Rattus norvegicus: one gene and its partners. The protein of the gene in region 1 interacts with the protein of each later gene in a biochemical or structural test. Links are inferred from orthologs where the notes say so. Each region holds a gene or a part of one and is shown in the gene's direction. Other genes may lie near its edges. The genes, in order: Rad51, Abl1, Rad54b, Sem1, Rad51ap1, Evl and Sumo1.

Region 1 (3,500 bases):
AAGACTAGGTTTCGGGGTTGGAGATTTAGCTCAGTGGTAGAGAGCTTGCCTAGCAAGCAAGGCCCTGGGTTCAGTCCCCAGCTCCAAAAATAAAAAAAAGAAAAGAAAAAAAGACTAGGTCTCATGTAACTTAGCATGGCCTAGAATTCACTGTGTAAATGAGAATAACCTTGATTGCTAATCTTAATTTCACCTCCTGAGTGTGATTATAGGTGTGTAACCAGTATTACCTGTCGTTTTGTGTGTTGTATTTTACTTTTTAATTTTTAGATTTACTATTTTTTGTATATAAGTGTCTGGCTTTCATGACTCTGTACACCACCTCTGTGCCTAGAGCCCAGAGAGGTCAGAAATGAGCTTCAGATCCTCCTGGAACTGGAGGTGAAGGCAGTTATAAGCACCATGTGGGTGCTGGAAACCCAGGCTGGCCCAAAAGTCACGCCTGTTTCCCAGGGCCTCCTTTTGTGTGTGTGTTGGGGGTGTGTATGTGTGATTTTTTTTAAAATTAGCCTGTGTTAAGTTGCATAATGATATGTTTTGTTATGTTTATGATGTATTGATTGGCTCCCTGTCACCTTCACTTGCCCTCCTCCTACTGATCCCTTTCTCTTCCCAGCACATCCCCTTCTTTCATCTGTTTCTGTTTGTTTTGTTGACAGTTTTTGGTATGGAGCTCACTGACTAGGCTGCCTGGCTAGTGAGTCTCAAGGGTCTACCTGCCCTTGCCTCCCCAGGTGATGGTAAACACTGCCACATCTCACGGTCTCTCCAGCCCAAAACTATAACTTTGATAATGAAAACATTGATAATTTGGTGTTTGGGGTTTTTTTTCTTTAGACATAATGATATTTTTGTACTATGTAATTCAAATGTTGATTTCTGAGCTTCCATATCTAGTTACAGTATTCTATCTCCTGCCTCAGTGTTGTATGAGCATTGCTCCCATTTATTCTTTGGTCAATAAAGCTAGTCAATCAGCCAATGACTGAGCAGGAGAGAAGATGGGGCTGAACTTCCTTCCTTCCTTCCATCCAAGGGAGAGGGCATCAGAGAGAGGAGGTAGGAATTAGCCATGGGGAGACAGTCTAGGAGACACCATGAGAAAACAACTAGAGCGGAGAAAGCCATAGAATGCAAGTATCTCCGAGATTCTGGCTCGGAAGTGGCCAGATTAGCATAGAGGATTAAAATAGAGTAATAAAAAAGTTGTCATGTCATTACAGATTTGGTAAATAAAAATACAGTCCAGTCTTAGTTATTTGGGATCTAGCTGGCTTAAGAGGAAAATTGTAACACACTTATTAAAAAACCATTAGCAGGTGGGAGGGGGAGTTTAAAAAAAAAGCCATTAACAGGTTTTAGTTTTGTTGAGACAGTGGTTTTTTTTTTGGGGGGGGGGGGGGAGTAACAGCCCTGGCTATCCTGGAACTTACTCTATAGACCAGACTATTCCCAAACTCAGAGCTCCACCCGCCTCTGTCTTCCACCTGATAGTATTAAAGGTATATGCCTTTAATTTGTTATTAATAACTCATGTGTAGTCAAACTTTTCAGGGGTTTTGCATATATTTGTGATCTTCAAACATGTCTCTGAGTGTAATTAATTAATATCCGCATTAGACAAGAGACCTAACTTTATTCATTGTTTTCTTACAGCAATGTGGCATAAATGCCAATGATGTGAAGAAATTAGAAGAAGCTGGTTACCACACGGTGGAGGCTGTTGCTTATGCACCAAAGAAGGAACTGATAAATATTAAAGGAATTAGTGAAGCCAAAGCTGACAAAATCCTGGTAAGTACCTATGTGATGGCGGAGAGGCGGAGGCATTAGTGAGAATAATTAGTACAGGGTGCTGTACAGTGATTGGTCCTTAGTCCCCTTCCTCCCCCTTGTCACCTGGTTTCCATTCTGGAAGTGACTGCTGACAGCTTTTATTTTAAAATCTCCCCCCCCCCCCCCCCCCCCCAGAGCTGGGGACCGAACCCAGGGCCTTGCGCTTCCTAGGTATGCGCTCTACCACTGAGCTAAATCCCCAGCCCCTTATTTTAAATTCTTATTTCCTGTGGAGAATTGCAGTATCGTGGAAATTGATATAAATACTGCCAAAAACACATTCCCACCAGCCCACAGTAAAGTTGTTTATCTTATCATTTTGAATGTGATCTCACCTCAGAGGGATATTTAAAATTATTATGTTATGTATATGCTGTTGTGGTCTGTGTAAATAAATTTTTATAAATAAATTTTTATTTATTTATTATATATAAGTACACTGTAGCTGTCTTCAGATACACCAGAAGAGGGCATCGGATCTCTTTACAGATGGTTGTGAGCCACCATGTGGTTGCTGGGAATTGAACTCATGACCTCTGGAAGAGCAGTCGGGTGCTCTTAACCGCTGAGCCATCTCTCCAGCCCTAAATAAATAAATCTTTAAAAAAAAAAAAAAAACTGTAGAAAGAGAGGCTGAGTACATGTTTCAGTGGAAAGTACTCACCTAGCATGTGCTAGGCTCCAGTTAATAGTCAGTACCACCAGAGAGGGGGAAAGAGAATGATATTGGTAGAATGTTGATATAAAAGTCACATGGTGACTCAAGCATGCTCAAAGTCATAGGTTCCATCTCAACAGCCACTGAAATGCCAAGATAACAGTGCACATCCACAGTACCTCTTAATGTTTTTATTAACCTATATTAATACGTAATATTCCGGGGGCTGGGGTGCAGTGTGAAGGGTCTAGAGAGATGTTCGTGGTTAAGAGTATAATCTGATCTTGCAGAGGACCTGAGCTTAGTTTCCAGCACCTATGTTGAGTTATCTTACAACTTCCTTTAAGCTTCAATATAGAGATTTGTTAGAGGGCTACCAGTATGCCTTTTCTGGCCTTGGGACGGATGTGTGAGAAGATACTCAAACATGAGACTCTTCTCTGCCAAATATAAGATCAAAGGCACCAGCTCTCCTCCCCTCCCCCCCCCCAAAATTCCACTTTTTATTCACCTTTTTTTTTTTTTTTGAGCTGGGGACCGAACCCAGGGCCTTGCGCTTCCTAGGCAAGCGCTCTACCACTGAGCTAAATCCCCAACCCTTTTTATTCACCTTTAATCCCAGCATTCAGGAGATAGAGGCAGGTGGATCTCGGAGTTCCCTCACAGCCAGAGCTACATAGTGAGACCATGTCTCAAAAAAAAGGGGGGGGGGGACAGAAGGAAATTGAAGGCAAGCATGGTGATACACACTGTAATCTCAGCAGTCTGGTTTATGTAAGTTCATGCTGACATTCAAATTCTAAATACATGGATGATTTTAGGATGTATTTAATTTACGTGTGTGAGTATTTCACTTGCCTGTATATATGTGCATCATGTCCTGGTGCCTGCAGAGATCAGAAGAAGGTAGTGGGTCCCTGGCTCTGGAGTTTTGGTGATTGTGAGTTACCACGTGGGTTCTGGGAACTGAACCTGGGTCCTCTGTAAGAACAAGAACTCTTAACCA
Region 2 (3,500 bases), about 91 Mb from region 1:
TAGTGTTTTGTGGTGTCACTCTGAGTTCTTTGTTGACACATTCCTGTGTTCCAGTATACTGTGCTTCTTCTCCTCATCTCTGGCCGTCTCCTTCCTTGTCCTTTGACAGTACCCTGTAGTCTTCCACAATATCTGTGCTCCAGGGAACAAGATAGTCCGGGCTTCTTCCCTGTCTTAGGTCTCAATCACCTGTTTTTCTAAGGAATCCTGGTTCTTAGTGGGAAGAAGGATGCCACGACTTTGACAGTTCACAAGATTTTTACAAACTGTTGCAGCTGGAAGGGACCTTGGAAGTAATCTCACCTTCAAACAACCCACGGCCCGACAGGCATGTGGCTACAGTCACAGAGCTATGCTCAGAACATGGCAGCTGACTTAGAGCCCTATGCTGCCTACCCGAGGGGGACCCTGTGCCCCAGGAGGCTCACCTTCCCCTCTCTCCCTTGCATGCTTTAGAGTAGCTTGAGTAAACAGCTTTGCTCTGTCCTACCTCTCCTAGGCTATTACCATGGAGAGCCTGGTAACTGTCAATGCTGGGACTGCTCTGCAGGTCTCTCTGCTGCACAGCGTGGAAAATGCCTGTATGTCCTGTGTGTGTTGGGGGCGGGGTGTGTGTTTGGGTGTTTTGGTATGTATGTGTGTGATATGTCTGTTTGGTTGTGTGCATGCTATGGCACACATGTGACTGTCAGAGCACAACTCTGTGGACAACTTCTCTCCTTCCACCTTTATGCCGGGTTTCAGGATTGAAAGGTCATTAGCTTTGTGCAGATGCTACCTCACTGGCCAATGCTCACACACCCTGATAGTCTTCCTCTCCCTCTTTCTTTCAGCATTTGGAGTATTGCTCTGGGAAATTGCTACCTATGGCATGTCACCTTACCCGGGAATTGACCTGTCTCAGGTTTATGAGCTGCTGGAAAAAGACTACCGCATGGAGCGCCCGGAAGGCTGCCCAGAGAAAGTCTACGAACTCATGCGAGCATGTGAGCCTCCCCAACCCATTCAGCACTACTCTGAGGAAATTGCACAAAGCCATTCCAGTGGGCCCTGGCACTCTGTCCCTGTGTTCCCAAGCCATCCATGCAGTGTGACTTTGAGTCTTCCGTGCGCTTATTCCCAGATGTAGTACCTCTGGGTTGGTTTTGTCTCCCTCTGGGACAGCTAGTTTTGGTTTTTGTTTGGTTTTTGTTTTGGATCAGGGTCTTGAACTATGTAGCCCTGACTACACAGTGACTCTCCTGCTTGAACCACACAAGCTCGAGGACTACAGGTATGAGTCACCATGCCCAGGTCGCTTTAAGTTCTTTAAGCATAGAGAGGGTTAGATGTCAACCTGGGTATTATTAGTACAGATCCCTAGGTCCTGCTTCCAAATACCTGGCTACAAATCGCTCCAGATGATAGAACTCTGGTGTTTGTATTGTGCGAGTGTATGAGCGCATCTGTGTGGTGTGCATGTGTGCACATGGCTGTATCATGTGTTCATGTGATCATTCCCTCACCTTTTTTTCCTAGCATATAGTGCTGCTGTCTGTATACTTAGATCTTCCTCACCATGTTCCCTACCTTCATTAATGCTGCTGTCTAGCATTTCAGTTAACAGTTTGAAGCATCCACTCATATTTTACACACTTGTTTGCTTTAATTATATTTTTATTATTTATTTTGTTTGTTTGTTTATGGGGCATGCATTCTACAGTGTACAGTTTTGAAGAGCTGATTCTCTTTTTCTACTGTGTGGATCCCAGTGGTCAAACTTAGCATCAGTCTTGGCAGAGTGTGCCATTTTGTGGCCCTGTGTTTGCTGCTGCGTATAAGGCAGACACACACGATTAGCCTCGTCTCTACATGTAGCACGATATTCCTAAAAGCTGGGCCGTAGGTCCAAAGAATCTGTGCTGTGATAACAAACCAGTGATGTTGCAGACGGTTGTGAGTCCCATGGGTACTGGGAACTGAACCTGGGTCCTGTGCAAGAGCAGCAAGGCTCTGAGCTGCTGAGCCACCTCTCCAAGCCCTAGTCCTTTTAGTCTCGTTGTCATGCTATTGGTGATACAGGCTGTGGTCTCAGTGCAAGGTAAGCTGAGGCAGGAGTATTGCTTGTCAAACAGCCCAGACAGTAATGAGGTCTAATCTCAAAGAAGCAAGAGAGATGCTCGTCTGTGCTAATGGGGACGGTAGACACTGATAGCATCAGTAAGGATGGTGACCGAGGCAGGCTGTTGCCTTGTTAACTCCCTGTCTATCACTGGGGTTTGGAGAAATGTTTATAGATGTGGTTTTTATTATCGGTGTCTCTGGGATTTTGCAAACAGTATTACTGCCTGTATATGATGTCTTCTTAATTCTTAGTGTCTGTCAGAGGACACAGGAGTTTTTGCCATTAGCCTGTCCCAGCCTCAGCCATCAGCAGGCTTGGAATGCCTCTTTCATGTCCAGACTGCTCCTTGGGTGTGGCTAGTTCTGGTTTGTTAGCGATGCTCTCCGGCTGCTCTGACGTGGCCTTCTCTGTCCAGGTTGGCAGTGGAACCCCTCTGATCGGCCCTCCTTTGCTGAAATCCATCAAGCCTTTGAAACCATGTTCCAGGAGTCCAGCATCTCAGACGGTAACATGCCTCCCAGGGGCCTGCAGTGGGTTGAGGGTTGGGTTGAGGCTGGACAAGCCTTCACTTCAGACCTGGTACCAGACAGCACTCTTCAGAGGCTTTGGTGGTGGCTCTGTGTCTGTCAGGTGCAGGCATGCAGAGTTCTAGAACATGCCAAGAGCTGTTTCTTCTGCTTTGTGTTCCTTTTCTCTAACTGCATAAATCTTAAGAAAAAGAGAATCCCAGGAACTGGAGAGCTAGCATGGTGGCTAAGAGGACTTGGGGTCAGTTCTCAGCACCCAGATGATGGTAACCCACGACACTAGTCACAGAGGATCCATTACCAGCTTCTGGCCTCTGCACCCATGTGGTACACAGACATACCTGCAGGCAAAATGCCATACACATAAAAAAAGTAACTTTAAAATAAATTAGAAAAAGAGCAAAGAAAAAAGAATCCCTTGCAATCTGGCATCTTTGCTGATGACTACTGGGTTATGTTTATGTGGTCCTTAGAGGTGGAGAAGGAGCTGGGGAAACGAGGCATGAGAGGAGCCGCCGGGAGCACCCTGCAGGCCCCAGAGCTGCCCACCAAGACCAGAACCTGCAGGAAAACCGCTGAGCAGAAAGATGCACCTGACGCCCTGGAACTGCTCCACACGAAGGGCCTGGGCGAAAGCGGTACGTCCGCCCTTCCCATCCCTCACCCCTCAAACCAGGCAGGCAAGCAGAAGCCGTCAGTGGGCCTGGCACAGAGGGCATCAGTCCCTCCTCAGTGGTCCAGCCCAGGGAAGAAGATTTGCCTCTTGCCCAGGGGAGCCTTTCAGCAGTTGCTTAGACAAGCTGAAAACTGGGACTCCTGCCAAGAAAGCACATCCACCTTTGCTGTGCTCTTCACAGCCCTGTGGGCAT
Region 3 (3,500 bases), on another chromosome or scaffold:
CTAGTGACAGTAATAGAGGTTTTATATTCAGATTTTTAACTTCAGATTCATGTTTTGGTAATTAGTTCACAATACATAATGGTTATAATTGTTAAAGACTCAAAACTGGTAGGATGTTATCAGCTAGATGAAACACTAAACTAGTCTGCAGGGTCATTATTACCAGTTTCCTGTTCTTGATGATATCAGGGCATGAAACATTTTCCCATTGTGATTCAATGCAGTTTAATTATTTCTAACAGAGCAGTTGGCAAATGTGGTGCCATTCTTGCTGATGAGATGGGATTAGGGAAAACCCTGCAGTGTATCTCGCTCATCTGGACCCTCCAGTGTCAGGGGCCTTACGGGGGCAAGCCAATAGTAAAGAGGACACTTATTGTTACCCCTGGAAGCTTGGTGAATAATTGGAGAAAAGAATTTCAAAAATGGCTGGGAAGCGAAAGGATCAAGATATTCACTGTTGATCAGGTAAGGGGTTTTTAAAGGTTTAAGTCCTAAATGTTCTTAAAATAGCTAGCCTTTTAGCTTAGTATAGTTCTTAGCTTTTTGAGTGTGTGGAATTCCACAAGCCCCTTGCATAGAAATGGAGTTTTGACCTACATTTTGATTTTGAGTTGTTACCAGATGATTACCTTTGGTTCCCCAGAGTCACGTGTTCAGGTGTTGACTCTCAGTGTGCAAGTGTTCATTTTCTTGTCATGTGGTTATGCACTGCCATAAGTTGGGAACGCAGCTGGGCATATGTCTATAATCCTAGAATTTTGAAAGTTCATACAAGAGGATCCAGAATTTGAGGCCAACCTCAGCTATACAATGAGATCTAGCCTGTTATATACATAACTACATATATGTGTTATGAATTCATGTAATATTTTGTACATTATAGTTTAGCCTAATTTACTTTAAATGTGCTTAAAACAGTTATATTAGTTTGTACCTCAAAAAACTCAGGTTTTATATGTGGGCAGGTGAATCAAGATGACACTGAGTTGGATTACTGGGGACTAAGAAGTTTATTAGAAGTGTTGTTAATGACTTAGAGAGACAGAGACAACAGCGTGACTCTGAGGAGAGTTCGGTCCCCAGCACAAAAAAGCATCATGGCAGTGTCTCTGAAGAGAATCAAAGTCCAAGGGGCAGAAGAAGAAGTCTCTTTATAACTTTTCAGGAGGAGGAGGTTCATAGGCAGGAGGCATGGAGTGGGTCAGGGACAGTATGGGAACCCCTTTGTTGTAGACTCACTAGACAACACTTGTCAGCTGAGGTGCCATGGTGAGACTGTTCACAGTCAGTGTGGGGTGGGGGGCTCAGCAGAGACTGGCTGCTAACATCGTCTGTAATCACCTTACAAAAACCTATTTTATAAGAGGGTGTTGAATATCTTTTTTGTTTTTCTGAATATTGAGAAAACAGAATGGCTTTATGTACCATTTTCAAATCAAAATACCAGAAGTCAACCATCAGAAGTCACTCAGGAGCTTGTAATGCTTTAGGAGATAGGGCATTGGAGGGTGGCTAGGATTAAAGTCATAAGGATGGAGCTCTGTGGAGATTAGTATGCTGGTACTAAAGGAAGGGAGATGAGATAGATCCTCCCCTCTTCACTATGAGAGCCACACTTCCCAGTGAAACTCAGGAGAAAGGGAAGGCTTTTTATGCTAACAGTCGAGGTCTTACTAGTCTGGCTGTGGTCTGGTTGGTATTACCTGAGACCGTTGTGTTATGGTCAGCTCCATGGGGCTTTGGCGATGCCGAGGAGGTTCTGTTGCTGGGTGTGCGGGTGTAATTTTGTCCTTTGACTTAAGAGATTGTCGTGGGATCTAATGCAGTTGTAGGGGAGAGAAACCCAGGAGAGCTCAGAAGGAAGGAAAAAACAAAATGAGTATACCAGAGTCCATGGCTGCAGCCAACTTCACTGATGGGCCGGTCTTGGCTTCCCATCCCAATGAGAGGTCATTGCTGTTGTTCAAGCCTTCTTAGTGCAGCCCAACAGGACCAAGACAGGAAGGGCTAATGTGATAGCTGGTTACTGGTTACTGGCTAATGTGATAGCTGGTTACTGGTTACTGGCTAATGTGATAGCTGGTTACTTGTGGGCAAAGTATGTTGCTTAGATTTGATTATATAGTTTCTGTCTATGGTTTGTTAACTATTATTTTTTTCTCTTTAGGACCATAAAGTCGAGGAGTTTATCAATTCTGCATTTCACTCTGTTCTTATCATCAGTTATGAAATGTTACTTCGTTCTCTAGATCGAATTAAGACCATAACATTTGGCCTTCTGATTTGTGATGAGGGGCACCGGTTGAAGAACAGTGGTATTAAGACAACAGCAGCCCTTTCTAGCCTCTCTTGTGAGAAGAGAGTAATTCTGACTGGTTAGTAGTCACATTGGGGAAGATGGGGTGGAATTTTTGGTTAATGAACCTTTACAGTCTGTAATCTGATGCTTAACATAAAAAGAACTGGCGATGTTGGGGGAATTCATATGAATAAGCCTATGTTAGTTGATTATCAGTCTTCAGATCCCTGAGCACTTTCCTGCAGCCCTGTTTCTGCCTTTTGAGGAATGAATTTAATGTATCATAGCAAAGCATGAGGCTGATGGGGCTGGACTGGGCGTGCTTGGTTTCTCAGTCTGCCAGTGAAGTGCGCAACTTGGGAAAGTAATTAACTTCTTGGCTCCTCGATTTCCTTGTCTGTGAAATAGAGATAATGGCGTCATGTTACAGAGTTGTCCTGAGGCCCAGAGGAGTTGATCCCTGTGAATGTAACTCAGTTATGTGGTAGACATTTTGTCTTGCACACGCAGCCTTGTTTTATCTCTGCTTCGTGTGTATATGTGTGGGTGTGCACATGCTTTGGAGGTCAGAGGGCACCTTATAGGAGTCTGTTCTATACTCCCACTGCGTGGGTCCCAGGGATGGAACTCAGGTTGTGAGGCTTGGCCATGACTCTTTCCCTGCTGAGCCATCGTTCTGGGCCTGTTTTTTGTTTTGTTTTGTTTTAATCTAGTCAATTAAAGTTGAAAATAATTTTGGCATCAAGTATCATATATACTTTGATGCCAGTGTTTAGTAGATAACCAATCAATGTTTCTATGTAATAATAACATAAAAATTGGATAGTAGAGAAGCTGGTGTTTAGTACTTAGAAAATTCTCTTTTAAAGGAAATGGAATTGGAGAAATGCGAAGCAGAGTCTAGGTGATTCCCATGTCTTTGAGGAACAGAGAGGAGTCTTCCGACTTCATGCTCAGCCTTGGGTCTTGAGAGCCTTTAGACTGGAGGAACAATGGGAAAGGGACTGGATTTGGCTTTACTATGTGGTTATTTTTCCTCCCCATTCAGCATGAGGCTAGTATTGCAGCTATAAAACAGAAAAGATTAGCTCTGGGGGGTGGGGGCAAGATGGGTGTGAAGAAGGGCTTTGGAAAGAACGGCAGGCACTGAGACAAAGTTCTTTCCTCACTCACTGGACTTCCCAGGAGTGGGCAGCCG
Region 4 (3,957 bases), on another chromosome or scaffold:
CTGTCACCGGGTAGTGAGCCACTGGGGATATATTTCTAGCCCTCTGTTTACTTTTAGTTTGGGGACACAGTTTCACTAAGTTGTCCAGGCTGATTTTAAACTCATATTGTACCCAAGGATTCCTTCTGCTCCAGTCTCCTGAGTAGTAGGGATTACGGACTTGCTTCAGTTTTCATATTATCTAATAACGTTATATTTGCATCTATAACTATGCATGTTATATGTATAATCTTGATTGTGGTGCTGCAAATAAACAAATTATACTAAAGAGAAATTAAGCTTTGCGCAGTGGCAGTATCGTAGCCTATGAGGTTTATCCGAGGCGCGATTATTGCTAATTGAAAACTTTTCCCTAAAGAGAAATTAAGTACCTCATCTAAGACTCCTTTAGATGCAATAGAGCATAGTTTGTAAGCTCCACAAATACATGTTACTATGTGGTTAATTTAGGAACTAGTGGGGTTGGGGATTTAGCTCAGTGGTAGAGCGCTTGCCTAGCAAGTACAGGCCCTGGGTTCAGTCCTCAGTTCTGGAAAAGAAAAAAGAAAAAGAAAAAGACAAAAAAAATTAGGCACTAGCTTTTCTTATATCTGTCATTGTCTTGTTTTTTCCATGTGCCACAATTAAAACAAAGAAAAAGAAACCAAAATTATATCTTTTGAACAACAATACAACGTTACATTATTTCTTTTTCATTTAATTTTTACATCAACCTGTCAACTAGTTAGAACACAGAGACCCTACCACACACAATTCTAAGGCCAAGGGGCACAGCACAATGGAAACGTTGGAACACAGTCAGGATTGTCTAGTATTGAGTGACTTCGCCTGCCTTTGGTCCTGAGTTTCCTGTGATGTGGAAATATTTAACTGTGTGCTCAAGGAATAGGTTTGAGTAGTGAAATAATGTATGTTGTGGGGCCTGGCTCTTAGCTGATGTTACTTTATCTTTTTAGATTTCCGTTCATGATTGTAAGCTAAGTATTGTTCTTTACTAATTTTACACATTGTAAATCTTTCACACGTAGACAAGTACATGAATAATAAAACGAACGAACACTATAAAACAAAACAGTTCGCTGGTTCAAGACAGGAGGACCGGCTACACCCGCAGGAAGCTCTGGGAGGACCTTCGGTGTCCCAGCATTCCTCGCGCTGCCCTGTAGCTCTTCCCCTCTAGTCTCTATGGTTGCGCCGGCGTTGGTAGTATCGGCGCCTCACTAGTACTGAGGCTTCCAACTTTGTGGTCGATCTCTGAGCGTTGTTGGGGCTTGGCGCTGCGCTATGTCCGAGAAGAAGCAGCCTGTCGACTTGGGTCTCCTGGAAGAGGACGACGAGTTCGAGGAGTTTCCCGCGGAAGGTAACCGCCAGGCCGCGCGCTGGGACCGGGGCCTACGGTGGGGCGGCGTCGGGCCTGCTCTCTGAGTCTGCGGGGATGAGCTGTGCCCAGCCGCGCGGATCCCGGCACGGCCTCCGGGTGTCCAGGCTTCGGGTTCGGAGTCCCGGTAGCCGTCGCTTCAAGGCGCGGCCCAGTGTTTTGTTCCTTGTCGCTGGGAGGAACCAGGTGAAGCTGGGCCCTCGTTGCCGCGAGGTTGGGCCTTTAAACTCCAGCCCTAGACTCTAAGCATCTACACAATCTCTTGCTTTCCTTGGGTTTCACAGCCTCCCCTTGGTATTAAACTTCAGAATCCCACTGTTGCCCCAGACAGACAGTGCTGTCTACTCTTAGGACAGCGCGAATGAGCCCTCTGAAGTATGATGGTAGAGTCCTGTGTGGTATACTTATTACAAATTTTGCCTCAATTTCTCTTCCTCTCCATTTACGGTCACTTGAATTAACCCAAGCTTTATAAAACTCTTAAACATCTGCATTCTAAACTAACTTCAATACTAGGGATGCTTTAATTGTCTCATTGTAGATAATATATATAGCTAATGTTGAAGAGTTTGCTCTATGATCTTGGGAATGTAAGTGCTTCACTTGTATCGCCACAATCCATTTCCACAAATATAAGAAGTAGATACTAATGTGTTTACCATTATTCACATAAGGAAACGGAAGTTTGGAACAGTTGAAAAACAGGCCCAGTGTCAACTGGAATTGATAAAACTGAGATGACTTAGTTTACACCAAAGTCCTTAAGTTTAACAGTTACCTTCTGTTTGCTAGCTGGGCCCCTTTGGCCATGTTTTAAATTGATTACTTTATTGACTAATTGTTTTCAGTAGAATTCCCAAATATTTACCCCCTTTTTAAAAAGCGAGTTATACTGTTGCCTTTCTGAAGGTGGTAGGAAGAGAATTGTGGGTAGTCGTGGGCACATATGGCATCAAGCAATTATCACTTGGCAAAAATTGTACTTAGTTACCCCACCTTGGTCTCAGGGTGCATAGAATCACATCCCAGGAACATTTAGTCTGTTGCGGATAATGCAATGTTTTAATATTAGTGAAAGAGAACATTAGTATATATATATATTATGCAACCTCAAAAACCAATTTAGAAGATATATTTCCTCCCAGTTAGGAGTCTATAATATATTATGGGATAGTTTACCTTTTGTTTAGGTAATGAATTTATCTGTCCAGTCTGATGTTTTCAGGCCCATTAATAATCTAAATAGAGCTTTGTGGTAAAATTGGCTAAGTGAGGGAAGGTTAGATTCTTAGTCTAACTACTTATTTCAGATGCTCTTTATTATTATATACAAGTTACACAGTTAAGACACTTGCTTTGCATTGAATAGAGTTCAACATCCAATCTTGAAGCAGTAGAGTTCACATAAATAAAACAAACCATGACTCTTGCCGTTAAGTGGCCAACTCAGAATCTAAGAGGCCTTCCTGACCAATGCACCCACCCAGATTCTAACCCTTACCTTTAGTGCAAGTATTTATTTAAAATAACTAGATGGCAAAAGAATTTAGAAGTAACTGTCAGCTTGACAGTGTACTAGATTTTTTTCAGCACTTTTTGTCAACTTTAGTGTAGTGTCTGTCCTTCAAAGCCTGTATTTTGAGTAGTAGTCTCTTTAGTGTTGACAGTTGTATTGTGTTTAAACATTCTATTGAAGTTAAGGAAAAATATTCTAAAGACAAAAGAATGCACAGGAGACAGTGTAAATGCAGTGTCATTTATTGATCTTCCAAATTTGTTGTCTCTGTGAGAATGTAGAGTCTAGTTTGTTGAGGAATCTTTACATTTAAATGAGAAGTAACATTTGAAATAATTTGTTATGCACATGTATGTTTCTTCTGGTTAACAGTTACATAGCCTTAATTTAAATTAGGGAGATTTTTGATATATAATTAATTCGGTGAAATTACTAAGTATTTACAAATTAAAAACTGATTACAAACTAAAGGAAAGAAAACCTAAAAAGAAAACAAAAACAAAAAAACTGAGGAACTTTCTTTGTTTGAGACTAACCATGTTCTTTCAAATTTTTGGTTTTGTCATGCTATAGATCTACTGTTGCTGATGAAATACGGTTTCATGGACCAGCAGTCTTGGCATTTGCATTGTTTGAGGGGATGTTAGAAACACTTCTTAAAATTTGCATCTTTCAGTATTTGAGTTTTCTATTAAGTTTTTTGTACCCTTATTTTACTTTCAAGTGCTTTTCCTTTGGAAAACCCATTCCTTTTTGGTTTGTTTGTTTTGTTTTGTTTTGTTTTTTTTGTTTTTTCTTGTGATGGCCCTTTATGAAAAATATACCACTGATAAACGCATTTATAGAATAAATGAAACATTTTCTTGTTAAGCCAATCTGGAGCTGTCTCTGCCATTATAGGATGTCTTACTCCAGGGGTTTTGTTACTTGAGAGCGCTCCATAGTGAGCAGACTACTCTCTGGGTTGTGTGCAAACTGTACACTGTAGAGCTTGTCACAGGCAAGTCATTGAATTGTTTTCACAGTGTCGATTGGGAGTGTTGTTGCTCCAACTCCTCCCACA
Region 5 (3,500 bases), on another chromosome or scaffold:
AGGTAGGCCCTCACAGAGGAAGGAACACAGCTTAATCTATAAAAAGAGCACTTGGCAGCAGTCACCCTGGATTCAGTTCTTTATTCGACTGTGTCAGTGTCCCACACATACGTTTCTTTGCTTCATTCCTAAAGGATAGGATTTGCCCTGTGCGGCAGCTGCTGCTGTGCGGTAAGAGTCCAGTCTTGATGAAGTTATCTGTATAGTCCTAACAGTTCACTTCCTTTCCCTTTAAATCCAGGTTTCTTGAACGTGTCCTAATAGGAATAATTTGTGAGATACTGGAGGTGCTAGCCAGGCGTGGTGGTGCCGGCCTTTAATCCCCAACACTTGGGAGGCAGACGCAGATGGATCTCTGACTTTGAGGCCAACCTGGTCTAAAGAGTGAGTTCCAGGGTAGTCAGGGCCACACAGTAAGACCCTGTCTCATAAAGAAACAAACAACAAAACCTTTCTGAAAGCTCAGACTTCAGAGTGAGACTGTGACTTCTAAGTTTCTCTGTGATTTTGTTTTTTCTGTAACTTTGTATGTGTGACAGAATGGGCGTAGCTTTTAATTTTTTTAAGTTACTTTTATCTCTAAAAATAAACCATTATTATTAGGAAGGCTATTAACCAGGAATCAGACATTTTAAGAGTGTTGTTATGTGCTATATCTAAAATCAAAGGACTAGAATTCATTGCAGAAGACATGGAAACCTAGAGCAGGAATTTTCCTTGGAATTGGTACTTCTCACTGAGTAATGCTCTTCATTACACAGGGACTTAATGTTGTCAATATCATTATTTAAGTCTCCTAAATACTTGGAATTGGTTGTGTTTTGTTTTATAGTGAGTGCTAGGGCTGAAATCCAAGGCTGCCCACCTACAGTACGAATATTCTAGCATTGTATCATTTTTAGGTTGTAATGACTGGAAAGCGTTTATATCAGTTGCTGTAATAAAATACCATAACCAAGAGCAATTTATAGAAGACAGTTTATTTTGTCTTGTGGTTCCAGAGAGTCTGTGGTGGGGACCATGGCGGTAGGAGCAGAAAGCTGGCTGATCACATTTCTGTTCACATTCAAGGAGGATAAAGAGCAGACTAGAGGGACTGAGCCTAACCTCTTCAGCCTCCAGTGAGTTACTGCCTTCAGCAGGGCTCCACATCCCAAAAGTGCTCATGTGAGCTTACAGGGACAGTCCGGCCACCACAGAGCTTAAGTCAGCATGACTGTGGATTCGTCCACACAGGGTGATATTACTTATTTATTATCTTCAAATGATAGACCAGGAATTAGATCTAGAGACGATGAGCAGGTTTACAGACGGAGGCTGACTGTGAACCTGAGTCATTGTAGAGCTCGCACTCACAGTGTGTGCTGGCTCCTCCAGGTAAAACATCTGGGCAGGTATGACTTTGAGGTGGTTTGTTCCCGTCTATGTGTTAATATGTGTTAGCGTGTTTCAGGGATCATCTTCCTGCTTTTTAGACAATGACTGGTTGGGATGCGGCTGAGGTTCTTTTCTTCCTGTGTTAGGCACTGACACAACCGGCAAAAGGAAAACGGAAAAGACAGATAAACCTCCTCGAGTCTCTAACTGCAGTGTAGCCAGTGATGATGTAGGTAAGTTTCGATATTAATGACAGCTCTTTTCACTCACAGTGCTATTTTTCTAACTTGTTTAAGTTCTTACACCCATAGCTAGAACAGTCTCCCCATCCTGGCCCTTGTTTCTTTATGCTTTAGTCTGGTTCTCTCTGACTGCAGATCTACTCTCTTCCACACTAGACAGTCGTGACTACTCAGACCCTTCATTCCACAGTCGGTGGCCACATAAGAAAGGGCTGCATCTGGAAAGTTCTTTGGCTATGACTCATTAAGGTCTCAGACTTACCCTTAAAACCAGAGTCTGTTCCTGGGAGACTTTGTCCTGGCATGGCCCATGGCCTGGTGTGTGTTACTGGTAGCAGAGGAGGGCAGCAGAGGTCATGGAATCTGCCCGGAGTTCTCACTGGTGTTCGTGTCTCCAGAAGATTTGAACAAGATCACAGAGGAGGGGGACGTCAGAGATGTTGAAGGAGAGAGGAGAACAACATCTAAAGCCAGGGCTCAGCAGAGGAGGAAGCTCTCAGAAGGCAGCAGTGGCAGCAGTGCTGACGGCACTGAGCCGGACAGTGCGACTGGTGAGCTGTGTCCTGCTTCGGGTTACTCTGCGGGAACTCAGGAAAAACTGCGTGGAGAGCAGGGTAGACACAAAGCACTGTATTGAGCCTTGGAAGTTTGTAAACTGGAGAACTCATAGAACAGTTAAATTGAGCTTGGCCACATCGAGAGAAACTGTCTAGGGGTAACCTTTAAGCCAAATCTGAACAAACAGCATTAGAAAAACCAAAAGAATGAAGTCACATTTCTGACCGAGGGAAAGGTGTGAGCATTGAGACAGACTAGCACATTCGAGAACCAGCTCAGTGAGACTTAGGAAAGAGGCGGAAGCGGCAGGCTGGGCTGTCACTAGCCATGGACCAACCCTTGACCTGTTCCAACAGGTTTCAGCTTTTTTTATAACTAGTAGAAATGTATGAAGTATGTTGAGTTGAAAGTAATATGAGACTATTTTATTATCAGTTGTTTTCAGACTTAATAGAAATAAGGGCAGAGGGAAAATATGACAGAATTGTAATGTGTTAAAAATTTAAAAGAGTAAGTCTGTACATTAACACCAATCAGACACAGTGTTTTAGATTTTGACACGCTATCAGCAAATAACAGATGTGCTCACTCACTGGACAGATATTTGATGCTTTTGGTATATGTCATAGTCTAGGCGCTAGGGAGCAGTCATGAGAGAAACAGCTCAAATTCTGATGAGTGTGTCACAGGAGGGAACACCTATGTAACGTTTTTAAAGCGATGGTATATAAACTGAAGGGCCTCAGGCAGCCCAGCGGAACTTGTCCAGCAAGTGTGGATTCCGTGGTTTGAGCTCTAGGACTAGAAAATAAAGCCCCACAAAGGAGAAGGAAGTGTGGAGGTTATAAAGGGATGCTGGGAGGTGTTAGGTCAGGAGAGCTGACGTTTGAGGTCAGGCACCATGCTTTCATGGAGGTAAGACATTCTAAGTGTGCTGAGTGACCGTGGGGCCATGGCAGATGACATAACAGAAGTCTCATGTTTTGTTTTAAAACCAAGAAAGACTGTGTAATTTCTGTTTTAGGTGAAGATTCAGAAAGTGATCCTGATTTTGATGAGAGTGAGGAAAGCGATGAAGACTTTGGTGTGAGAAGAGGTAAAGAAACAAAGAAGAAACCAGTGCAGAAGAAACCCAAAGCAGAAAAGAAGGAAAGGAAATCAAAACCCAAACGTGAGGAGGCATCAGGTGAGCCTGCTCTCAAACCCATTGTTCTACAGGGTCGGGTCGGGTCTGTTAGGTTTCCAGATCTTCGCCTGTGCCCTCTAACATTTTGCTAATGCACATGTCTAGTTAAAAGGAATTGTGGCTAGGGACAAAAGCTA
Region 6 (4,228 bases), on another chromosome or scaffold:
CTCTGCTGTATCCTGCTTCCCTGTGGAGGATGCAGATCTTTTTCTAAACCAGCCTTACAATGTCTGCAGAAGCAGAGGCCCCACATTTAATGCCAAACATGCTCAAACCTCCCTGAGTTCCCCATCCATTAGGTGGGAATCCTAAAGCTCACCTTACAGGCTGCTGGGGCTCAATTGAAGCCCCAAGGTCAGTAGGAAACAGACTGAAAGGGACTTGCTCACATTTCTCCCTATTCCCACCTGTCCTTCCCCTTTCCCGAACTCAGACTTCTGAAGCCAACCTCTATTTGCAAATCAGAATGAAGGCTTTATTCCTCGGAAGTAGAAGAACTTGTGTTTTCCACCCTTCTGATACAAAACGTTACAAAAGGTTAACATTTTTTGAAACATGTGACCTCAAAAAGATTTCTTTCTGGAGGCCACCAGTCCTTGGCTTTGAGAAGTGATTCCTCATTAGTGTCAGTGATTCTAGTGGGGGCGCGGCGGAAAGACGGTGTCTTTACAACAAACCCAATTGATTATGCCCTCCAAGTCACAGAATGGCAATTTGTTAGATCCCAGGAGCAAACACCTGGCGATTGGTGGCCACAAGCAGGAAGAACACAATGCCTTGCTGGAATCAAGGTATGCAGCAACCAGGACTCTCCTGAGGACACCTGGGATGCCTTCAGTTGACCTGAGGCCCCACTATTTTCACAACTCTTAGCACGTGACAAGGCTCTTCTGTAACCAAGAGACCAATATAGATCCCAGGAAGAAGGGAACCAATACGGTTAGGAAGACTATGACCTCAGGCAATGCTAACAGTACTGCAGATCCAGGAATCCGTTCAAGATTGCATCTTTCAGCCCTTAATGCTCTGTTCTGAATGCACTGGAAAGCTGGTACAAGTAGGGCTCCATGTGCCTCAACACTCTCCCCCCATTCAGCCTTGACTCACAAATCACACCCTTTGCCCTAAGCCTCTCCACCTGCCCTTCCCTCGACAGCTCCTCCACCACCAGGGATTCTGTGGGGTCTCCGCCCACTCTGCCCGCCTAGCTCCAGGTCTACGCCCCAATCCCCAGCCCTAAACCCACGACCCTCCAGGCTTTTCGGTGGAGCTCGGCTTTGTTTCTCCCTACTAACTCCTTCTTCCAGGCCTTTCCTAGACCTAAGATCCCGAAGCTTTCCCGCAAAGGTCGCCCGGAATCTTTCCCTTGCAAACAAAAATCCTGGAATTCACTAAGTTAACCTGTTCCTCCAAACTACAGTTTCTCCCAAATTCTCCTTTGGGACCTTAGGCCACGCCCCCTGTCTTGCCCCCAGACTCCATGGCCCATCCACCCTTTCCACAAAGGTTCGCCCCACCCCTCTGGACCTGGGCCACACCCCTGTCCCGCCCCCTCACGCTCCGCCCTCTTAGAGGCGCGGACCGCCGAGCCCCGCGCCTTTTGTGTGGAGCTTCTCTGCGGCGCGCACCCATTCCCTCCGCGGCCGCGGACCGAGGGCCGTCGGCGCGCGCAGTCCCCTCTGCGGGCGGAGGGTCCCTCCGCCCCGCGTGCACCCCGCACCCCATCCTCCCGCCGCCGCCCCGAGTTTCAAGGCGGACGCGCGCTCTCGCTCCCGCCCTCGAGACCCCGCCGCTCGCCCCCTCCCCCGGCCCGTCGGCTGGCGGGCGGCACGCGCACGCGCCGGCCCGGGCACGCGCGCCCGCCAAGATGGCAGGGGCCGGGGCCCAGCTGTCAGTCGCCGCCGCCGCCGCGGCCGCGCTGCCTCGCAGCTAGCGGCCCGGACGCCCGCCGGAGAAGATGAGCCCCCGCCGCCGCCTGCAGCCCAGCCAGACGCGGAGCCGCCGCGCCCGGGGCCGGCTGCCCCGCTAGCGCCCCGTCGCGCCGCGCCTTCATCCCCGGCCCCGTGCCCGCCCGGCAGCCACGATGAGGTGAGTAGGGGCCTCGAGCGCGGCGAGGCCTGGAGCGCCGGGCGTGGAGGGCGGGGTGTCCGAGCATCGAGGGGGCACCGGAACCCTCAGCCGGCGGCCCAAGCACCAGAAGACAGTCAGGCCCCGGGGTCCGCGGGAGGCCGCGCCCGCCTTGTGCTGTCTGCCGGCTGTGAGCGCCTCAGCGGCGGTCCTGTTCACTTCGGCTTCTGTAGCTCATCTCCATCAGGGCGCTCTCATCATCACCTTTCTTTCTGACCTGTCCCCTTTCTCTTGCAAACCCGCACATTGTGTAACCCCCAAAAGGTACGGCTTTTGATGTGCCCCTCAGCCGGAACCTTGTCAACACCCAGAAACTCCCGTGCTCTCTTCATCGCTGCTGCACCCAGGTTTCCTTTCCAGACTAACCTTAGCCTGCTTTCTGGGGTGGGGTGGGGGGCGGGGCGGGGCGCATGGCAGCGTATGCCGGTTTTTTTTTTTTCTCTTTCTGTGCAATGTTATCTTCTAGATACATCTTTCTTAAAAACACTGTAGTGTCCAATTGTAGATTCGTTTCACCTGTTTTGTGAACTGTATAAATTCAATAATGCATTATGTAATTTTTGTGTCTGCCTTCTTTCATCCAAGGTATTTCTGAAGTTCATCCATCAGGTTTCTATTATCTACTGTCCTGCGTAGTGTAGACAGTCCACACTTTATCCATTCTGCTAATGTTAGTAGACTTTTGGGTTGTTTTGGGCTATTAACCGTTCGGCGAATATGCCAAAAGCATTCATTTCTAATGAATATATATTCTACCTACCCACAAGCAGGTTGTTGTTGGTTTTGTTGGTTTTTTTTTTTAAACATAAAATCATGTACATCTTTTGTTGTAGTGGATAGAACTAAAATTCCCAAAGTCATGTTACCAGTTTATACCAGCAAACATTTAATAACCCTTGTTTAAAATCCCTGACACCCCTTGGTATTGTCTGATGAAATTTTAGCCATTCTGGTGAGTGTGAAGTGACATTCCATCAGGGTTTTAATTTGCAGTTTCTGGTTGACTGAAGAGGCTGATTGTCCATCTGTGTATGTTTGGCATTTTTTAAAAATTAAGTGTCTGTTTAAATATTGTCCAGTTTTAGCGTGAGGGGTTGTCTTCTTCCTAATTGGTAGAGTTACTATTCGTAAGTGAAGAAGATAGCTTGCTAACATTTTGCAGAAATTTTAATATTTTGCTTTTTATATAAAATAATATGGTCCACCTGGAACTGGTTTTTGTGTAATGTGTAAAAGGAACTGTTTTCACATTTACCTATCATGATTTATTCCTCATCGTTTACCAAGCTCACTGTTTCCCTCAGCTGCAATGCCACCTTTGTCATCTTTCAGACTTCCTTTTGGGGTCATATCTGTCTGAAGAACGTCTTTTAGTGTCTGTCTTTCTGCCTATCGCAATGTTGGGTGTATCAGACCAAGGCAAGGGTCTTGCACGCATCCAATGATTGCTATCCGAAGCTTTTGCTTGTCTGCTTTTTGTATCTTTTATGTATATGAGTGCATGTGTGCATATACATTCCGTAGGGGCGGGGGCACACCCAGGCCTGGGGTTAGCATTAGGAGTTATTCTCCAATTTCTTCATTGAGGCAGGGTCTCTCAGTTGAACCCACAGCTGGCCACTAACCATCTGTGGTCCTGTCTCCTTCTAACAGAATTGTAGGGAGGCTGCCACACCCACCTACTTTGATATGGGTTATATGGATAGACCTTCAAGCTTGCATGGGAAGCAGTTTATCCTTGAAACCATCTCCTGTGTCTTTGTTTTTGTTGTTTTTGAGCAGGGTCTCAGGCTGACTTGGAACTTAACCATCTCCTATCTGCTGGGATTCTGAGTGTACACTGCCGGCCTGGTCCCTTTAGTATTTTTTAGTGTAGGTTCTGCTGGAGCAGATTGTTAGACTTTGTTTGAAAATGTTTATCCTTCACCTTCCTCTGGTTTATAAGCAATTTTATTGAGATATAACTCATAGCACAAAGCATCCAGGGAAGCATGCAGTTCATGGTTTTTAGACTGTCCACAGAGCTCTGCAACCATTACCATTAGAACCTTTTCCTCCACTTTAAACACTCCTTTCATTGGTTAGTTTCGGAACTCAGCACTCCCCTGGCTCCAGCTTTTCACGCTGTCTTGTAGTCTGACTTGACTGTTTCTGGTGAGGAGTCACTTGCTATGTTATGTAACGTGCTTCAGATGTCAGGAGAGTGGGGCTTGCTTTGTCTGCTTCTAGGTTTTTGGCTTTTTTTTTTTTTTTTTTTTTTTTTTTGAG
Region 7 (4,191 bases), on another chromosome or scaffold:
TTCAAATTCCTTCTTTTGATGTGAATGTTCATATTTTCATTAGTAATTGTTAATAATTTTTTAATTTTTATGAGTGTTTCTGTCCGAATGTGTGTCTATGAACCACATTTAGGCCTGGTGCAGTGCTGAAAAACATATCAGATTCTCTGGGACTAGAGTTATAGGCATTTTTGAATGCATATACGGGTGCTGGGAATCAAACCTGAGTCCTCTGGAAGAGTAGCCAATGCTCTTTGATTGCTGGGCCACTTATAATCGGCTCATTACTAATTACAGAAAAGATTATTTTATTAATGTCTTGTACTGTGAAGGTTTTTGACTTACTTTAGTTTTCATTTTTCCCCCCTTTACTTAGTATAACCTTAATCTTCCCTGAATGTTTGTGCAAGAGGGTCACTGTATTCAAAGGAAGATGTTTAGGTCTATGATGTAAGGCAACTAGTTTATGAGCTGGAGGGAGCTCTTGCAACTTCAACTTTCAATAGCATTTTGGTCATCTATAGCCACCAAGACTTTGTTCTAGAGCTGGAGATGTGGTGGCCCAGGTCTTTAATCTCAGCACTGGGGAGGCAGAGGCAAGAGGAGGCCAGTCTGGTTGACTTAGCAATGTTCTATAATAGCCAGAGCTACTTAGTGAGACCCTGCCTCAAAACACAAAACAAAACCAAAGATGTGACCGGAAGGGTTGTTTCTTCATGCCCCACCCCTAGACTCCCACAGGGTTCTTCCATGTAGCCTTGGCTGTCCCGGAACTCACTTTGTAGACCAAGATGGCCTCAAACTCACAGAGATCTGCTTGCCTCTATCACTCGGAGTACGCCACCATAACTCAGCTCGTTGTGGTTAACTTCATTCACTCTGACATGCTAGTGGCTTCCAAATCGCTTTCACTTTCTCTCTTGTAGAAAATGAAAACTTGTTACTATTGTATTTCTAGTAATCAAAGTCATGAATGTGGCAGCAGCAAGCAAGAGGGGGCCATAAAGATATTATACAGGGAATTCACTATATTCAGGAAGAGTTGGTTCCGGCCTCAGAAGCGTACAAGATGTCCAACAGGGAGGAGCCTAAGCGGTCAGTTTGACCCCAAACACACACAGCCTGCAGGCAAAGCGCTGGTCTCCCTAAGGCCTGAGGCAGCGGGCCGGTTTTCCCGGCCCCGCTGAAGACCTAGCGGTTCTCTTGCTCCAGGAAAGTAGCTTAACCTTGACGATTTCATCTCCCGCATTCCCTAAGGCGTTTTCCCGCTTCCCTTTCCCGTCTTCCCAAACTCTCCTCTGCGCGCTGCGGAAGTGACGCAAGACGTAGCGGAAGTCCCTGCAGCCGCGGTGTTGTGCTGTGGAGAAGAGACGGATTTGTAAACCTCAGAGTGCGGTTCTGCCTGCCGGAGGCCGCTGTGGTGCGGAGACCCCCGGGTGAATCCACCGACACCATGTCTGACCAGGTACCGGGCCACGGCCTTGGGGCTCAGGGCCGTCGGCTGCTGGCTGAGCCCCTGGAATGGGGCGCGGGGGGAGGGGGTGATGTTGGGGGAGGGGGCTGCCGGTGGGGAGGGGGCCGCGAGGGACGCCGAGCGCCTGGCAGAGTCGGGCCGAGCCGCCTGGGATCGAGGGTCTCCGGGTTTTACGCACCCTCCGCGGCCCTTTCGGAGGCCTCTACCCCCACGCCATCCAGCGCCGGGTCTCTTTCGACTGCTCCCAGGTTTCTCTCGGGCTCGCTGGGGGCCCAGGCCCGCTCCCTTGTCCGTGAGAGCAACCTGGGGGAAAACGACCGTTTCCCTTTCAGAGGACCGATGGCAGAAACAAGGCCCTAGGCCCAGTTATGTAACGGGAGAGAATCCCTGCCTGGGAGGCTAGGTGGCCCTGAAAAGCAGCTCGATTCTACTTTGGGTTCTTGGTCCCGGAGAGTGGGGGGCGGGCAGGGATCCTTGTTTGGGGTGACTGGGAACCCAGGAGACGCTGCTTTTCAGTTGTGTTTGCCTGGAGGGTCAGTCCGTCTTTGCCCACTTCAGAGTCATTTTTCCATCCGGGGGTGCGGAGCGGTCGACTCTTTCTCTGTACTTTCCATTTCTTACTCGGGATTGGTCCATCAACTCTCCAGTTGTAGGAGCGCTCAGAATAACCGAGAAACAACAAACTGCGTAGAGTGCCACCACCAACATGCCATCCATACGGTTTTTGTCTGGCTTTCCTTTTGTTTGGTCAGATGACTTAATTTTCAGAGTATTTTTTTTTTTTTTAATTTTTACTTCTTTAGTTACAATTCAGCAAACTTTTTTCATTCTACTTTACATTGTAGTTGAGCTTTTTTAAAATTTTTTTTGTTGGTTTTTTTTTTTTTTTTTTTTTTGAGACGTTGGTTTTCTGTGTAGCCTGGTTGTCCTGGAACTCCCTCTGTAGACGAGGCTGGCCTCCAGTTTATAGAGATCCGCCTGTCTGTTTCCTGAGGATGAAAGGCTTGCAACCACCCCAGACTGGCCATAGTGGTTCTATTTTTATAGCCTATCTACACTGTAAATTAGTTGTGGGATGGATTTACTTATTAATAATCTGGATTATTAATCTTTTGGGCTAGAAATGACTTTATGAAGCCCATAATTTGTTTATGACAGTTGTTTACTTAGTTACCAGAGAGGAGAGATCAGCTGTGTAAACGCTTATGCTTCATCAGACTTCTATTTTTAAAGCATGTTAGCCAGATGAGAGGGCAACATACAGAAAGAGTTTTAAGTTTTAGGATTAGTTTTGCTCTAGTTTGAACTTACATTATGTGAGGATATGAAGAAAGAAAAGAGGACCCTAGGACACAAGGTTTCAGGGAGTCTGCAAAGTCACTCTATGCTTGCTTAGGACTCTCTCACCTCACTTGGGGTCTTTGGGTGCTGGACCTAGGGCCTCCCACATGTGCTTGCCAGGCAGGCACTAAACCCTCATTTCTCCTTTTACTTCATTTCATTAAGTTGTCTAGGTTGGACTGTAACACACTTGTCTTTGAACTTGGACTCCCTCAGCCTTGCAGAGTAGCTGGGATTACAGAGTTATGCTGCCACACTTGGTGTGTGTGTGTGTGTGTGTGTGTGTGTGTGTGTTTCTCATTCTATCATGGATGTTCAATGAAAATTTTAGAAACATGACAAAAAAGTAGAACAAATCTTTTTTTTTGAGGCAGGGTCTTAACTATGTAGCTTTTCCTGGCCTGGAACTCAGTTTCTCCTGTGTCTGTTTCCTGAGTGCTGGGATTAAAGATGTCTACCACCACAGTTGGCAAAACAAGTCTTTTTTTTTAAATTGAGCTACACATTAAAGCAATTTGCATAGGAAATAGTGCTGCTACTCTTAAAATTTTTGTCTTTAAAAAAAGTAATAAAAATGTATCTAACATTTTAGGGGTTTATTTAGTTCAAGTCAAGGGTTTCTCTGTGTAGCCTTAGTTGTCCTGGAACTTGCTATGTAGATCAGATTGGCCTCAGATTTTCCTTGCCTTGCCTCTGCCTCCCAGAGTGTATACCACCACGACAGCTGGGTTGATAGGTTTTTAAATCATTGAGAGTGTGATAATGGATTTGGGAGCTGTTGCTTTAGGCTGATGGATAACATTAATCTTAGTTCCCAGAACAAGTTCAGTATTGAGTGTTAAAGATTTGGAGAAAACGGTTAAGTGAATCCTTGCCTGTAAGAGGTTTATAAGTGAGAGTAGGAATCCCCAAGTACTGTGTGTAATAGCAACAGCCTGAGACTGAGCTGTCTTCAGAAGGTGGCCTTAGAGGGTACTTTTTCAAGTTGGGGGGTTCGATAATGTGCTTGACTTGAATACAAGATGCCCTCCAGTACCCATGCACATTTTATTTTCTGAGGCAACTCTTAGAAGCTTGTATCTTGTGCTTAAAATAGTCACATTGAGTAATAGTTTCAGCTTTTCTCTTTGTTTTGAGATGCTCTCACTGTGTATCTAGGCTGGCAGTGATCCTTCTGTTTTTACTTTCCTGAGTCCTGGGATTACAGGTGTATGTGTATGCCACTGTGTCTTGCCATAATTTCAGTTTAAAATGAGTGGATCTTTATATCTAAAATAGATCACAATCTAATGCCTAAACCTTGAGAATTCACTGAATTATGCAGTTTTTTTAAAAAGAAGGTACTATAGGTCCCATCATTGGTACATGATTTCCCAAAGAATGAGGATCATTCTATA

What was found.
Region 2: the proteins of Rad51 (region 1) and Abl1 form a complex in vitro, tested with the Homo sapiens proteins (2 studies listed by BioGRID). The link is inferred for Rattus norvegicus from reciprocal best matches to the Homo sapiens genes RAD51 and ABL1.
Region 3: the proteins of Rad51 (region 1) and Rad54b form a complex in vitro, tested with the Homo sapiens proteins (2 studies listed by BioGRID). The link is inferred for Rattus norvegicus from reciprocal best matches to the Homo sapiens genes RAD51 and RAD54B.
Region 4: the proteins of Rad51 (region 1) and Sem1 form a complex in vitro, tested with the Homo sapiens proteins (2 studies listed by BioGRID). The link is inferred for Rattus norvegicus from reciprocal best matches to the Homo sapiens genes RAD51 and SEM1.
Region 5: the proteins of Rad51 (region 1) and Rad51ap1 form a complex in vitro, tested with the Homo sapiens proteins (6 studies listed by BioGRID and IntAct). The link is inferred for Rattus norvegicus from reciprocal best matches to the Homo sapiens genes RAD51 and RAD51AP1.
Region 6: the proteins of Rad51 (region 1) and Evl form a complex in vitro, tested with the Homo sapiens proteins (2 studies listed by BioGRID and IntAct). The link is inferred for Rattus norvegicus from reciprocal best matches to the Homo sapiens genes RAD51 and EVL.
Region 7: the proteins of Rad51 (region 1) and Sumo1 form a complex in vitro, tested with the Homo sapiens proteins (2 studies listed by BioGRID and IntAct). The link is inferred for Rattus norvegicus from reciprocal best matches to the Homo sapiens genes RAD51 and SUMO1.

The regions. Positions count from the first base shown.
Region 1 is NC_086021.1:126,560,710-126,564,209, forward strand, and holds part of Rad51 (DNA repair protein RAD51 homolog 1), read left to right. Parts: intron 1-1,656; coding exon 1,657-1,794; intron 1,795-3,500.
Region 2 is NC_086021.1:35,471,587-35,475,086, forward strand, and holds part of Abl1 (tyrosine-protein kinase ABL1), read left to right. Parts: intron 1-833; coding exon 834-986; intron 987-2,519; coding exon 2,520-2,609; intron 2,610-3,104; coding exon 3,105-3,269; intron 3,270-3,500. UniProt on the Homo sapiens protein: Non-receptor tyrosine-protein kinase that plays a role in many key processes linked to cell growth and survival such as cytoskeleton remodeling in response to extracellular stimuli, cell motility and adhesion, receptor endocytosis, autophagy, DNA damage response and apoptosis.
Region 3 is NC_086023.1:29,881,465-29,884,964, forward strand, and holds part of Rad54b (fibrinogen silencer-binding protein), read left to right. Parts: intron 1-242; coding exon 243-468; intron 469-2,170; coding exon 2,171-2,378; intron 2,379-3,500. UniProt on the Homo sapiens protein: Involved in DNA repair and mitotic recombination. May play an active role in recombination processes in concert with other members of the RAD52 epistasis group.
Region 4 is NC_086022.1:35,655,663-35,659,619, reverse strand, and holds the start of Sem1 (26S proteasome complex subunit SEM1), read left to right. Parts: upstream 1-1,157; 5' UTR 1,158-1,284; coding exon 1,285-1,360; intron 1,361-3,957. UniProt on the Homo sapiens protein: Component of the 26S proteasome, a multiprotein complex involved in the ATP-dependent degradation of ubiquitinated proteins.
Region 5 is NC_086022.1:161,448,560-161,452,059, reverse strand, and holds part of Rad51ap1 (RAD51-associated protein 1), read left to right. Parts: intron 1-1,523; coding exon 1,524-1,610; intron 1,611-2,017; coding exon 2,018-2,170; intron 2,171-3,201; coding exon 3,202-3,363; intron 3,364-3,500. UniProt on the Homo sapiens protein: Structure-specific DNA-binding protein involved in DNA repair by promoting RAD51-mediated homologous recombination.
Region 6 is NC_086024.1:133,237,119-133,241,346, forward strand, and holds the start of Evl (ena/VASP-like protein), read left to right. Parts: upstream 1-1,428; 5' UTR 1,429-1,916; coding exon 1,917-1,921; intron 1,922-4,228. UniProt on the Homo sapiens protein: Ena/VASP proteins are actin-associated proteins involved in a range of processes dependent on cytoskeleton remodeling and cell polarity such as axon guidance and lamellipodial and filopodial dynamics in migrating cells.
Region 7 is NC_086027.1:68,600,004-68,604,194, reverse strand, and holds the start of Sumo1 (small ubiquitin-related modifier 1), read left to right. Parts: upstream 1-1,391; 5' UTR 1,392-1,432; coding exon 1,433-1,444; intron 1,445-4,191. UniProt on the Homo sapiens protein: Ubiquitin-like protein that can be covalently attached to proteins as a monomer or a lysine-linked polymer.